Linked DNA regions of Pelodiscus sinensis. The protein of the gene in region 3 binds, or shares a complex with, the protein of the main gene of each other region. Links are inferred from orthologs where the notes say so. Each region holds a gene or a part of one and is shown on either strand. Other genes may lie near its edges. The genes, in order: DRC9, DRC5 and DRC3.

Region 1 (3,745 bases), on a different chromosome or scaffold from region 3:
ATAAGGATTTGGCAAAGAGAGCAGCACTGCTTTTCATAGTCTCTCTGTGGGAACAGCCCAGTGAACATGACCGCCAAACCTGACCAAAAAGTCTACATCACATTTTCACCTTGCCTGAAACAGTTCCTCCGGTGCTTTTAAAAAAATGTCTAGATCTTGTTAGGTGCTAAAGGTGTTCAAATACTTTACTGCATCGGGCCCTGAGACTTTCCAGATTAAATCTGCAGCCTTCAGAAGTAAGGGGATTATCACAGAGGCAGTTAAATTTTTTAAAAGCATGTGAGCTACTTGGGAGTCTAAAACCTATTTTAAAGAGTGAATTAGTTACTTAGAAGCCCAAGTTTCAGCTAATGTCACTTTTGAAAATAGAGTTTAAGCTGCTAAGTCACTGAGGGCAAAAGTTGAATTAAGCTACGCAACTTGAGCTACAGCAATTGCATACATAATTCAGCTTTTGGCACTGTCTACGCAGCAGGAAATCTTCACTCTTCCTTTGACTTCTCTTAATTTTAAGCGTGATATGAAGGTTACAGGAATTGGAGTAAGAAATCCTCCAGCCTGACATTATTCCAAAGTAATGACTTGCAGTGTAGATGCCCTCTTTGTAATGCTGCTGTGTAGACATACCCTAAGGCACTTTTTAAAAATTTACCCTAATTCTCCAGTGGCCTTAGCTGCATGGACAGGCATCAGCAACAAGGCCCTGATTCTGCCAAGCAGTTAAGTGCATGCTTAGTGCACTCCTCTTCAGAAAATCACTTAAACATGTGTTTGTTCCAATGAAGCCCAAATCCTCAACCCAGGCCTAAATGAGGGATTAAAGGTAAATTTTAAAGTTACTTACTGTTACAGTGGCATGGAAGAAGCCACAGGGGCTGCCAGGTGCATAGAAAGATAGTCTTCTCCTAAGCACTCACCGCCCAAAAAATGGCCAAAATACAGCAGAAAGGTTGTGGGCACAACACCCAAGCAGAGTCCTCTTGGCGCACACAGAGCTTGTGTGATCACACTGGTTTGTACTAGGGATGTAACAGTGTAATTGATATAACCAGAAGCTTATAGGTTAATGCTAAAGACTATACGCAATTCCCCCCACCCTGCCAGTAAATTGTTTAGCAGGCTGGCCAGCAACCCAGCTCCGTCCTGCTCCAGGACCTTCCCCTGCTGCGACTCTGCATTTAAAGTGTGTTAGGCACCAGGCAGGCAAGCAGCCTGGCTCAGTTCCAGGAGCTCAGACGGCCTCACCCTAGACGGGGGTTGCTGCCACCCCGCACTGCTGCGTGTGTCAAGCAGGGGCAGCAGCAGTGACAGGCAGCCAGGGGAGATGACTTTTAAACTGGCTCCTCTCAGGGAACAGCTCCTACCTGGCGCCCTGTGCTGCTGCATCTGTATCCGAGGCAGCAGCATGGTGTGGGGGGGGGGGGGGGAGCTCCTTGGGAGTGGGGCCAGGGCGCACTGGCGGCCGGCCCCGCCCCCGGGGACTATCAAGAGGAGTAACCGGCTAGAAGTCAGGAGGCCACGTGACCCTTCGATGAACGGATCCTTCACGTCCCTACTTGGGGCCGTGGCCCCCCTCGCCACGGCCCCGGGCCACGGCCCCTTTCTCATGGCGGGTTGGGCTTTAACCCTCCCCGGGGGGGGGGCAGTCCTGTGGCCCCCGCCCGGGTGTGTCCCTCCCCCAGCCCCTGTGCGGGAGACAGGCGGCCCCCAGGGGCGCGCCACAGGAGGGGGGGCAGGGCTGGGCCCCTGATGCTCCCTTCACGGGGGGGGGGGGCAATGGGACACCTCTCCCCAAGGGGCTTTGCCCTGCTCCCTAGCTGCGCTCGGACCCAGGGCCCCCCGCTATCCACCGGGGGGGGCGCACTGGGCAGGTCGCTCCCTCCCCCCCCCCCCCCCGGGTCTATTATCAGTGACACTGAGGGGACTCACGCACAGGCCGCAGGCCGGACAGAGCTGGTCTCCATGGCAACTACCAAGCTCAAGGGGGACCTTCCAGTCACACTGCCTACGTGGGTGCCTGTCGGGCACAACCCCTGAACCACGACCTCGCAGGGGAGGTGCCCACACAAAGGGCGCGGGGGACAGAGAGGGAGGGTGGGGCCGCGGCTGGGTTTTATTCACCCGTCCGCGGGCGCGTTTTCTACTCAGGCAGTCATTGCGGGCGACCCAAGGGCCCTTGCGATGCCATATCCCGGCATGCTTGGTGGCCGCTCTCCCTTTCGCCGCCATCTTGGGTCGGAGCCGCGGGGGTGAGTCCGGGGAGCGGAGGTCCCGAGGTGGGTTCAGGGGGGTTCTCCCGTCGCCGTGGGGCGGGGCAGGTGCGGCGGGGCCCGGGCTGCGCAGGGGGCGCGTGTGGCGGGGGCAGGCGGCGGGATGGCGCCGATGCGCGGCGGATGGTGCTAGGCCCCGGCCTGAGCCGGCTCCCACAGCCCCACGGGGTCCCTGGCTCTTCAGCCCCCGGGGTGGGGGGGCCCGGCCTGGCGAACGTAGCCCGGCCCGTGCCGAGCTGGGCTCCCCCGTTGCCGGCCGGGGTTAGCGGGGAGCACCGGAGGCTGCGGCCCTGTGGAGGCTGCGGGTCCCCCGGCGACGTGCCGGGCGCTGCGGAGGGGGGGCAGGGCCTGCTGCGGCCGTGGGGTGCCCGGCTCCCTAGTGCGGCGGCTGAAATCTTCGTGCTTCTCTCTCAGGCCTGCTGGGAGCAGGACTTCAGGACGACGCCATGTCTGGGAGGTGAGCGACGGGCTCTGAACACTTCCTTGGTCCTTTGCTGTCATGTTGGCCGGGGATCGCAAATCCTCTCCTCGGCTCCTGCAGAGTGGGCTGCCTTAAGTAGAGCCGGGTGTTCACCCTCTGTTGTGATGTACTTGGCACTGATTGCTATTCCCATCCCAAAGATCTGTCCCCTATAAAATCTTGTTATGCTGCACAGTTGTGTTCGGATCAGTATGTTGTGGGACAGTCTAAATTCCTACTATCCCATGCTGCCACACATGGTTAACCAGCCCTTTCTGTCAAGAGTTGGTAGAAGTTGGCTGCCATCTAATGATAGCTACAATTGCAAGTTACTTGTTCGTGGATGCAGACTGCATATGCAATCAATTGCATTACAGTTTGGTTATGGATAGGACAGTTTCAGATTCATGGTCAATTTTATTGTCATGGGATTTTAAAAAGCATGAACTTCATGATGTAATGTACTTAAATTTTACAGTGCTGGAATAGTTGAGTTCCTTCATGACCCAAAAAGGGGTTGTGCACTAGGGGTGTGAAAGTGTAACTGTGTACATTGTTAACCAATGAGCCCATGCTCATTGGTTACTGTGCACGGTTACATGCAACCCTCTCTCCTCACCTTCGCTGCTGCTTCTGTATCAGAGGCAGCAGCAGAGTGGAGAGGGAACAGGTGAAGCTCGCCAACTCCCCATGTACACCAGCTGCAGAAAAGCCACCTGCCCCATCCCCTGCTATGTAACCACTGGAAATTTCAGCAGTTACACATTCATTTGAGTAATCCCTATTGTGGACTAAGATCTGTGTAAGCTGTGTGGCTGTGCAGCTTGCCCAGCTAGGCTCTGCAGGAGCTCAAGTAATCTAGCCAAGGTGGGGACCTGCTAGCCAGAGGAGAACTTTCCCTTCCAGCCTCGGGAGACGCAGCCCAAATGCAGCCAGTGTCCCTGCCCCAGATCACCCCTTCCTTTCCTTCGAACTGGAAAGGCTAGGCCCAGACTCAGCCACTGCACCAAGATCT
Region 2 (3,745 bases), on a different chromosome or scaffold from region 3:
TAGCTAACAGAGGGTGGCAACCTGATACATCAGGAGTGATGTGTAACTTGATGTGCTATTTATCTCTCTCCACTGTGTAACTTGATGTGTAACTTGTTTGTTTGGTATTTGTTTGTACAAAACAAGTGGTCAGCTGACCACACGGGACAGGGCACATTAGAATCCAGAGAGTTTAGTTGGGTGTTAGTCGATTGTCATGGTGTACATATGTATAGTGGCGCAGCGGTGAGTCCATTCGCTGACAACTATTTTGTACCTTGCTTGACAATAAACCTACTCAGGTGCTTTTTATCTTTATCTGATTTGTGGTCTCTGGGGGCTCTCTCAGAGTTTGTCATATTGATTAATTGTGCATGATTAATGCATTAGACAAGGGGGCACACGCATGTACACAGCCAAAAGTTTATCATCATTGATGGATTAGAGGACCTGTCAGGAACCCATCAGGATGACTCTGCCTGACTGAGGACATGAGCCATTTTTGCCAATGTATGTTACATTTGTATTAAGCAGCTACGTTGTTGACTTCTGTAAGGATAATGTGTCTCTTGATTTTTAAACACTCACATGCATGCCCATATATACCAGGCACAAAAACTGTGCTAGCTATGATCATGTTGGAGAATAGTTGTCAAGTTCAGATCTGGCAGAACTAGCTTTGCCATCCATTTGCTAACATGGCTATTTATGTCAACAGTACTATGAACTATGCTACAGACAAAATTATCCTGTCTTCTATATTGCCTTTCATTTAGACTGCTCTGAGTCATCACCAACATATCACACACTCCTCAGTGATGGGGATAATTGTATTTCTGAAGTAACACCTCAAGAAAGTTAACCACTACTTGTGACAACACTTGCCAATCAGCAGTGGCTGGCATTGTCTTGCCAATATTTGAATGGGAATTTTATGCGGCCGTAACTGTGGGAAAGGTGATATCCAAAATGGGAATACTCAGATGTATGGAGTCAAAAGAGAGGTAAAGAGAATATCCAACCCATTTCCAAAAACACCAGTGCTTGCTCAACCAAGCCAAGTCTAGCTCTAGCAACATCCTGAACTAGAAGAGACTTTATCCTTTCTTCTCTTCATCAAGTTGATCTCTTAGAACCCCAGTAAAAAATTAATTGGTCACTTAATTTTAATAATTAATTAAAATAATACTTTGCTCCTCTTTAGCTCCTTCCATTCAAGGATTTCAATGTACAGGTACTTCACAGTCAGTTAATTTAATCCCCCATTTAGGTAGGCAAAATAATTTCTTGATTTTACATGGGGTAGAGATGGGAAGTGACTTCCAAGAGTTATACAAGAATTTAGAACTCATTTCTAAATTCCCTGGCCTTTGCTTTAACAAACCAGAACATGATTCCTTCTCCTCACTAATGACTTTCTGGCATTTCTTTCTATACTGTAAAAGTCAGGATCCTTAAAGGTGAAATGAAGGGCTTTCTATCCACCAAGATCTGACTTTAGCCCTTCAGTTCTGTTGCTCTATAACTGCAGATACTGTTACTAACATCAGAAGCTGAAAAATGCTACTTTAGGAGTTAGTGATATCATCAGTTCCAACAGAGGAAAAAAGACACTCAGGGACTCAATGCAGATTTTGGCAAGTAAGCAAAGGCAGAAATGATTTTTAAACCAAGTGATTTTAAAAACTATTCTCCTTTACTAAATTCTTACAGTGAGCCATCTGCATGGTATTAAGAGTTGCAATTTACAACAGAATCCCACTAATTTGTACTAATTACTAGGGATGTAAAAAATCGTTTAAAAATGTAACTGTATAACCACTAAAAATCCTAGCAGTTACATGGTTACACACCCTGCAGGCTCTGCAGTATAGCTTTTATACTGCAGGGTAGGGTGAAGCTGGCTCCCCAGGAGCAGGACCAGCCGGGGCTGCTGACCCTGCTCTAAGGGAGGCTTGGCTGCAGGTTATGTGGTGACTGCCAGCTCCCTTTGCTGCAGGCTCTGCAGTATAACTTTTATACTGCAGAGCCCGTAAAAAATCTGGCTCCCTGGGAGCGGGGCCAGCAGCCCCTGCCCGTCCCACTTCCAGGGAGCCAGCATGTAACTTGTAACACAAACTGATATGCTGGTGCTTATCAGTTAACCCTTTAAATAGTTGCACTTTTTTACATCCCCACTAATGTCAGGAAGGTCCAGGCCTGGTTAGTAAATGTTGCAAATTAAAGAGTAGACAAACACAATGTAAAGACACCATACTTAAAGAAAGCATAAGTTAGTACTGGTTACTAAGGGTAACATGCAAGTAGGCTGTTGTATATTTTGTAAAAGAAATGAAGTCTTAATAAATACACCTCTCTGCAGCACAGCCTCTTCCAGGGGACAGTCGCTGAAAGTTGAGATGAGAGCAGTTGCTGTGTCTTTAAATGACAAGTGCTGAGTTTGTGAAGTAACAGAATGGCAAGGTTATAACGGATCTTATAAGCATCTGGCAGTGAGCTCCAGACAAAGGCAGGCAAGTCCCTGTCCCAGGAGCTGGCAACTCAAAGCCCCCGGATTTCCCTAATAAGTGAGTGTAGAACCCAGGACAGGAGAAGAAACTCAAGTTTCCCCTGCAAGGGGCTGTTCAGCTGGCTGAGAGGGAGAGTGGGAGCGGGGAGAGGGCCAGGCAGCCCCAAGCGTCCCTGGTTCCCCTCAAGACGCACCTGGGCTTCAGGGAATTCACTCCAGGCAGAGGCGTTGCGCCCGCGCACCCATCCGAGGGCCCCTGCCCAACTCTAGCTCCTGGGACGCGGGGCAGAATAAGCTACAGACGCTGCCCGTCTCTCCCCGCCCCCTCCCTCCCCGCCAGCCCCAGCCCCTCACCGTCTCCCGCGGGCGCCACCTCCCGCTGCCCCGCCCGGTCCGGCAGGCAGGCCCCGGCCGCGGTTGCTAAGGAAGCGGCCCGTTGTCAAGAGCGGGGCGGGGGAGGGATGCCGAGGCCGGAAGCGAGTCGGTGCCGCAGTGCTGGGAAGGGGGGGGGGCTTATGGTGCGACAGGTGACAGAGCCGCCCCCACCCGTGTCCCGGCCCGGCCCAGCACCGGGCACGGGTCTGCTCAGCGGCTGCGCGGGCGGCGGCACAGCCTAGCTCGGCCCTCCGCTGTATCCACAGGCCCGCCGGGCTTGCAGCGTCCCGGGACAGAGCAATGCAGCCCCTCGTGTGGCTCCCTGCATAGGTGTCCACTGAGTATTATTTATAGGGTTGTCACCTCTGAGGCTACAAAAAACTGGGACATGAGCTGATCCTGTCCCCCATACACTGGTCAACAGCCAGCGCCTGGGAGTTCCCTGGCATTCTTCCTGGGACAACTACCTTCAAAAAGGGAAGATCCTAGGAAAACCTGGAGCAGGGGCAACCCAAAGGCTACGTCTAGACTGGCATGATTTTCCGGAAATGCTTTTAACGGAAAAGTTTTCCGTTAAAAGCATTTTTGGAACAGAGTGTCTAGATTGGCACGGACGCTTTTCCGCAATAGCACTTTTTGCGGAAAAGTGTCCGTGGCCAATCTAGACAGGCTTTTTTGCAAAAGAGCCCCGATCACCATTTTTGCGATCGGGGCTTTTTTGTGGAAAACAAATCTGAGCTGTCTACACTGGCCCTTTTGCACAAAAGGGACTTTTGTCTGAATGGGAGCAGCATTGTATTTCCGCAAGAAGCACTGATTTCTTACAGTAGGAAATCAGTGCTTTTGCGGAAATTCAAGCAGCCAGTGCAGACAGTTGGCAAG
Region 3 (3,745 bases):
AGTCTGGGGCAGCCAGCGGCCTTGCTGCCAGCCAGGGGGCCAATCAGTGTGATCCCGCACTACGATCCTGTGCTTAATCAGTTAACTGGTTAAGCCTAGTGTGTAACCGATTAACTGGGATTTTACATCCCTCCTTAAAAATACAATTATAGTTTAATTTGAAAAAAATCGGATACTTACTTCTAAAATCAAGCTGTAGCTCTAAAACATCTTTATAATCAATGCCTTCCCTTTTGGCAAGCTGCCCTAATTCCTCTTGGGGGCCTTGCTCTTCCACAGCTTTTTGAAGCATCTTTTCATCAATCACATTTGGCTCTATGCTATCATATAACCGACTCATTTTCATGCGAAATAGGCCTTCAAGAGCAGAACAAACAATATCTCACAATTACCTTTTCCAGTGAAATGCACGCAGTATACAGAGAAACAATAGTACAGTGGGATATTCAAAGAGCATAGGCCTGCACTATGGAACTCAGAGTTATTAAACTTTCCTAAACAGCTACCCAGAGCAGAGCAAAAAGATTGCCAAATGCGTGGTCCTCATATCATGTACATAGAAAACCTGCATTGAAATTTAAGGAGAAATGTCCATGCAGAATTGCAGCATTGGGCACAATGAGAGGAAGTGAGTGAAAGGGACTGTCTCTTCCCATAAACAACGAGCAGTTGCCAGAACTTTCAACACCCATCTCACTACAAAGATCTAGGGGTGAAATTTTCCCTAGTGCAGAGTACGTACAAGCCTCTATGTTGAGCTTTCTCAATGGGGTGAATTTCACCTCCTGATAAAGACTAGACGTACCAGGTACATGTGCATGTGAGAATTACCAGGAACAGGGTTCTAAACTTTCATTGACAATCTGATGCAGTGGCAAATGCTGGCATCACTCAGACTGTTTGTGGAGGGAAATGTACACATTAGCGAGACTAGCTTGCAGTATAGCCATCTGCCGAGTTGCTCCCCATTCTGCTGAACAACCATCCATTCACTCATTGCCCTGCCTGTCACACAGCTACTTGTCCACCTATCCATTCAGGCTGCCACTCGCCCAGCTTGCCCCACAGCTCCTGCCCATCTACTGGTGCAGCCTGCCCCACAGCCACTTATCCATCTGCCTGCCCATCCAGCCCCTCAACTACCTGCCCAGCCTACCCCACAACTACCAGCCCATCTGCCCGCCCAGCCTACCCCACAACTACCTGCCCATCCAGCCTGCCCCACAGCCACCTATCCATCTGCGCGCCCAGCCAGCCCCACAGCCACCTATCCATCTGCGCGCCCAGCCAGCCCCACAGCCACCTATCCATCTGCCCATCCAACCTGCCCCACAACCACCTATCCATCTGCGCGCCCAGCCAGCCCCACAGCCACCTATCCATCTGCCCATCCAACCTGCCCCACAACCACCTATCCATCTGCCCATCCAACCTGCCCCACAACCACCTATCCATCTGCCCATCCAACCTGCCCCACAGCCACCTATCCATCTGCCCATCCAGCCTGCCCCACAGCCACCTGCCCCACAACCACCTATCCATCTGCCCATCCAGCCTGCCCCACAACCACCTATCCATCTGCGCGCCCAGCCAGCCCCACAACTACCTGCCCAGCCTACCCCACAACTACCAGCCCATCTGCCCGCCCAGCCTACCCCACAACTACCTGCCCATCCAGCCTGCCCCACAACCACCTATCCAACTGCGCGCCCAGCCAGCCCCACAGCCACCTATCCATCTGCCCATCCAACCTGCCCCACAGCCACCTATCCATCTGCCCGCCCAGCCTACCCCACAACTACCTGCCCATCCAGCCTGCCCCACAACCACCTATCCATCTGCGCGCCCAGCCAGCCCCACAGCCACCTATCCATCTGCGCGCCCAGCCTGCCCCACAACTACCTGCCCATCCAGCCTGCCCCACAACCACCTATCCATCTGCCCATCCAGCCTGCCCCACAGCCACCTATCCATCTGCGCGCCCAGCCTGCCCCACAACTACCTGCCCAGAATTCCACGCAACCCTCCAGCCACTGCTCCCCCCCAGAAGCTCAGCCGGCCGCCCAGCCCGCTCGCCAGCCGGCCGCAGGCCCAGGCGGCCAACCACAGGCCCGGCCACGCAAAGCCCACGGTGCCGAGCCGGTGGAGGACGCAGAGGCTGGCGAAGGCCCCCACGCACTCCCCGTGGCACCCGGACATCCAGCCCCACACGCAGCTGCAGAGACACTCGGACACCCACGGGACCCGCCACCTCGCCCCTCGCCGCGGGCACTAGCGCTCGCTGCTAAGGAAACAGGGGCTGTTGCTAAGCAGAGTCACGTGATCGCAACCCCCCACCGCGCGCTCTCTGTCACGTGACAGGCCGCATCTTCCAACCGCAGCTCAGTTTGGTGGTGACTTGTAAAACTGAGTCTAAAGCTCCTCCGCCAATCAAAACGCGAAGCAGCAGTTTAGACCAATTAGAGTCAGCCTCTGCAGCTAGTGGAGGCTGGAACTTCAGCTGACGAGTGTGGCCATTGCCCAATAGAATTGGGCAATTGATGGGGCGTTGTCCAATGGTGAGTGTGTCGGTAGAGGGGATTCCTGCCCCTCATGTGTCACTCAATACGGGGAGCGAGGGTGGTGATTGGAGGAGAGGACAGGAAGGCAGGACCGACAGTGATTGGCATGCTCAGTCTCCAATGCGATCGAGGGAGGTGGGCTTCCTGACCAGTGGAGCTCAGTGGGCGGGCTGTTGACGGTGGCGGAGTCCCTGATTGGTCAGTGAGGGTGTCGGTCAGAGCGGGGAGGAGGCCGCAGGGCTGGATCGAAAAGGCCAGGCCGGGCCGGACCGGCTGTTTGTTGTCATCCCAAGATGGAGTTTCTGCTGGGGAATCCGTTCAGCACCCCGGTGGGGCAGAGCTTGGGTGAGGGGGGGGCATGGGGCATGGGCGGGCCTGGGGAGGAGGGAGGGAGCCTCGGGACAAAGCCAGCCAGAGTGTGTGGGGGGCGAAGGGGGGGCCAAGGGGGCAGAGCCAGGCTGGGGGGGGCCAAGGGGGCAGAGCCAGGCTGGGGGGGGGGGCGGGCAGAGCCAGGCTGGGGGGGGGGCAGAGCCTGGGTGAGGCGGTGCAAAGGGGGCAGAGCCAGGCTGGGGGGGGGCAGAGCCTGGGTGAGGCGGTGCAAAGGGGGCAGAGCCAGGCGGGGGGGGGGCAGAGCCAGGCTGGGGGGGGCAAAGGGGGCAGAGCCAGGCTGGGGAGGGGGGGCAGAGCCTGGGTGAGGCGGTGCAAAGGGGGCAGAGCCAGGCTGGGGTGGGGGGCAGGGGAACAGAGGCTGGAGGGAAGGAGGGGGCAAAGCCCAGGGGGATAGAGCTGGGAGGACGAGGGAGTCATTCCAGTGGCAGAGCTGGGGAGGGACTAGATCTGAAAAAGCAGAACCCCAGTAGGGGTTAGGCTTGGTGGAGTTGGGAGTGCCACCCCAGAAAAGGGTGCGTTAGGGGTCCTAATCCCTGATGGGATCTTGGGGGTCTGGCATCCTGAGGTGAGAGCTGGTTGGGAGATGGGAGGGGTATGGCCTGGTAGGGCTGCAGAGCTTCTGTGGAGGTGAGTGCTGGGGTGCTCGTGATCTATATTTATTGCAGTGGCCTGTGTTCCCCACGGCTGCCCCCTGGGCCTGGCTTGTAAGATGAGGGTGCACTACTTCAGAAACAAAATCCTGCTGAAATCCCTTTTCTCCTACGGTGTTTCCAGTGACAGCTGCAGGACTAGCA

The links.
Region 1: DRC3 (region 3) and DRC9 share a complex: the UniProt entries of both Homo sapiens proteins name them as parts of the nexin-dynein regulatory complex. The link is inferred for Pelodiscus sinensis from reciprocal best matches to the Homo sapiens genes DRC3 and DRC9.
Region 2: DRC3 (region 3) and DRC5 share a complex: the UniProt entries of both Homo sapiens proteins name them as parts of the nexin-dynein regulatory complex. The link is inferred for Pelodiscus sinensis from reciprocal best matches to the Homo sapiens genes DRC3 and DRC5.

What each region holds. Positions count from the first base shown.
Region 1 is NC_134720.1:50,767,839-50,771,583, reverse strand, and holds the start of DRC9 (dynein regulatory complex protein 9), read right to left. Parts: upstream 2,272-3,745; 5' UTR 1,934-2,271; exon of another isoform or gene 1,930-1,933; intron 1,430-1,929; exon of another isoform or gene 1,246-1,429; intron 1,020-1,245; 5' UTR 845-1,019; intron 1-844. UniProt on the Homo sapiens protein: Component of the nexin-dynein regulatory complex (N-DRC), a key regulator of ciliary/flagellar motility which maintains the alignment and integrity of the distal axoneme and regulates microtubule sliding in motile axonemes.
Region 2 is NC_134713.1:140,621,850-140,625,594, forward strand, and holds the start of DRC5 (dynein regulatory complex subunit 5), read right to left. Parts: upstream 2,982-3,745; 5' UTR 2,843-2,981; intron 2,812-2,842; exon of another isoform or gene 2,683-2,811; intron 2,414-2,682; exon of another isoform or gene 2,332-2,413; intron 1-2,331. UniProt on the Homo sapiens protein: Component of the nexin-dynein regulatory complex (N-DRC) a key regulator of ciliary/flagellar motility which maintains the alignment and integrity of the distal axoneme and regulates microtubule sliding in motile axonemes.
Region 3 is NC_134726.1:33,168,244-33,171,988, forward strand, and holds the start of DRC3 (dynein regulatory complex subunit 3), read right to left. Parts: upstream 2,357-3,745; 5' UTR 2,338-2,356; intron 2,307-2,337; exon of another isoform or gene 2,003-2,306; intron 1,333-2,002; exon of another isoform or gene 897-1,332; 5' UTR 806-896; intron 358-805; 5' UTR 347-357; coding exon 181-346; intron 1-180. Other genes in the region: TOM1L2 (TOM1-like protein 2), read left to right, coding at 2,855-2,906. UniProt on the Homo sapiens protein: Component of the nexin-dynein regulatory complex (N-DRC) a key regulator of ciliary/flagellar motility which maintains the alignment and integrity of the distal axoneme and regulates microtubule sliding in motile axonemes.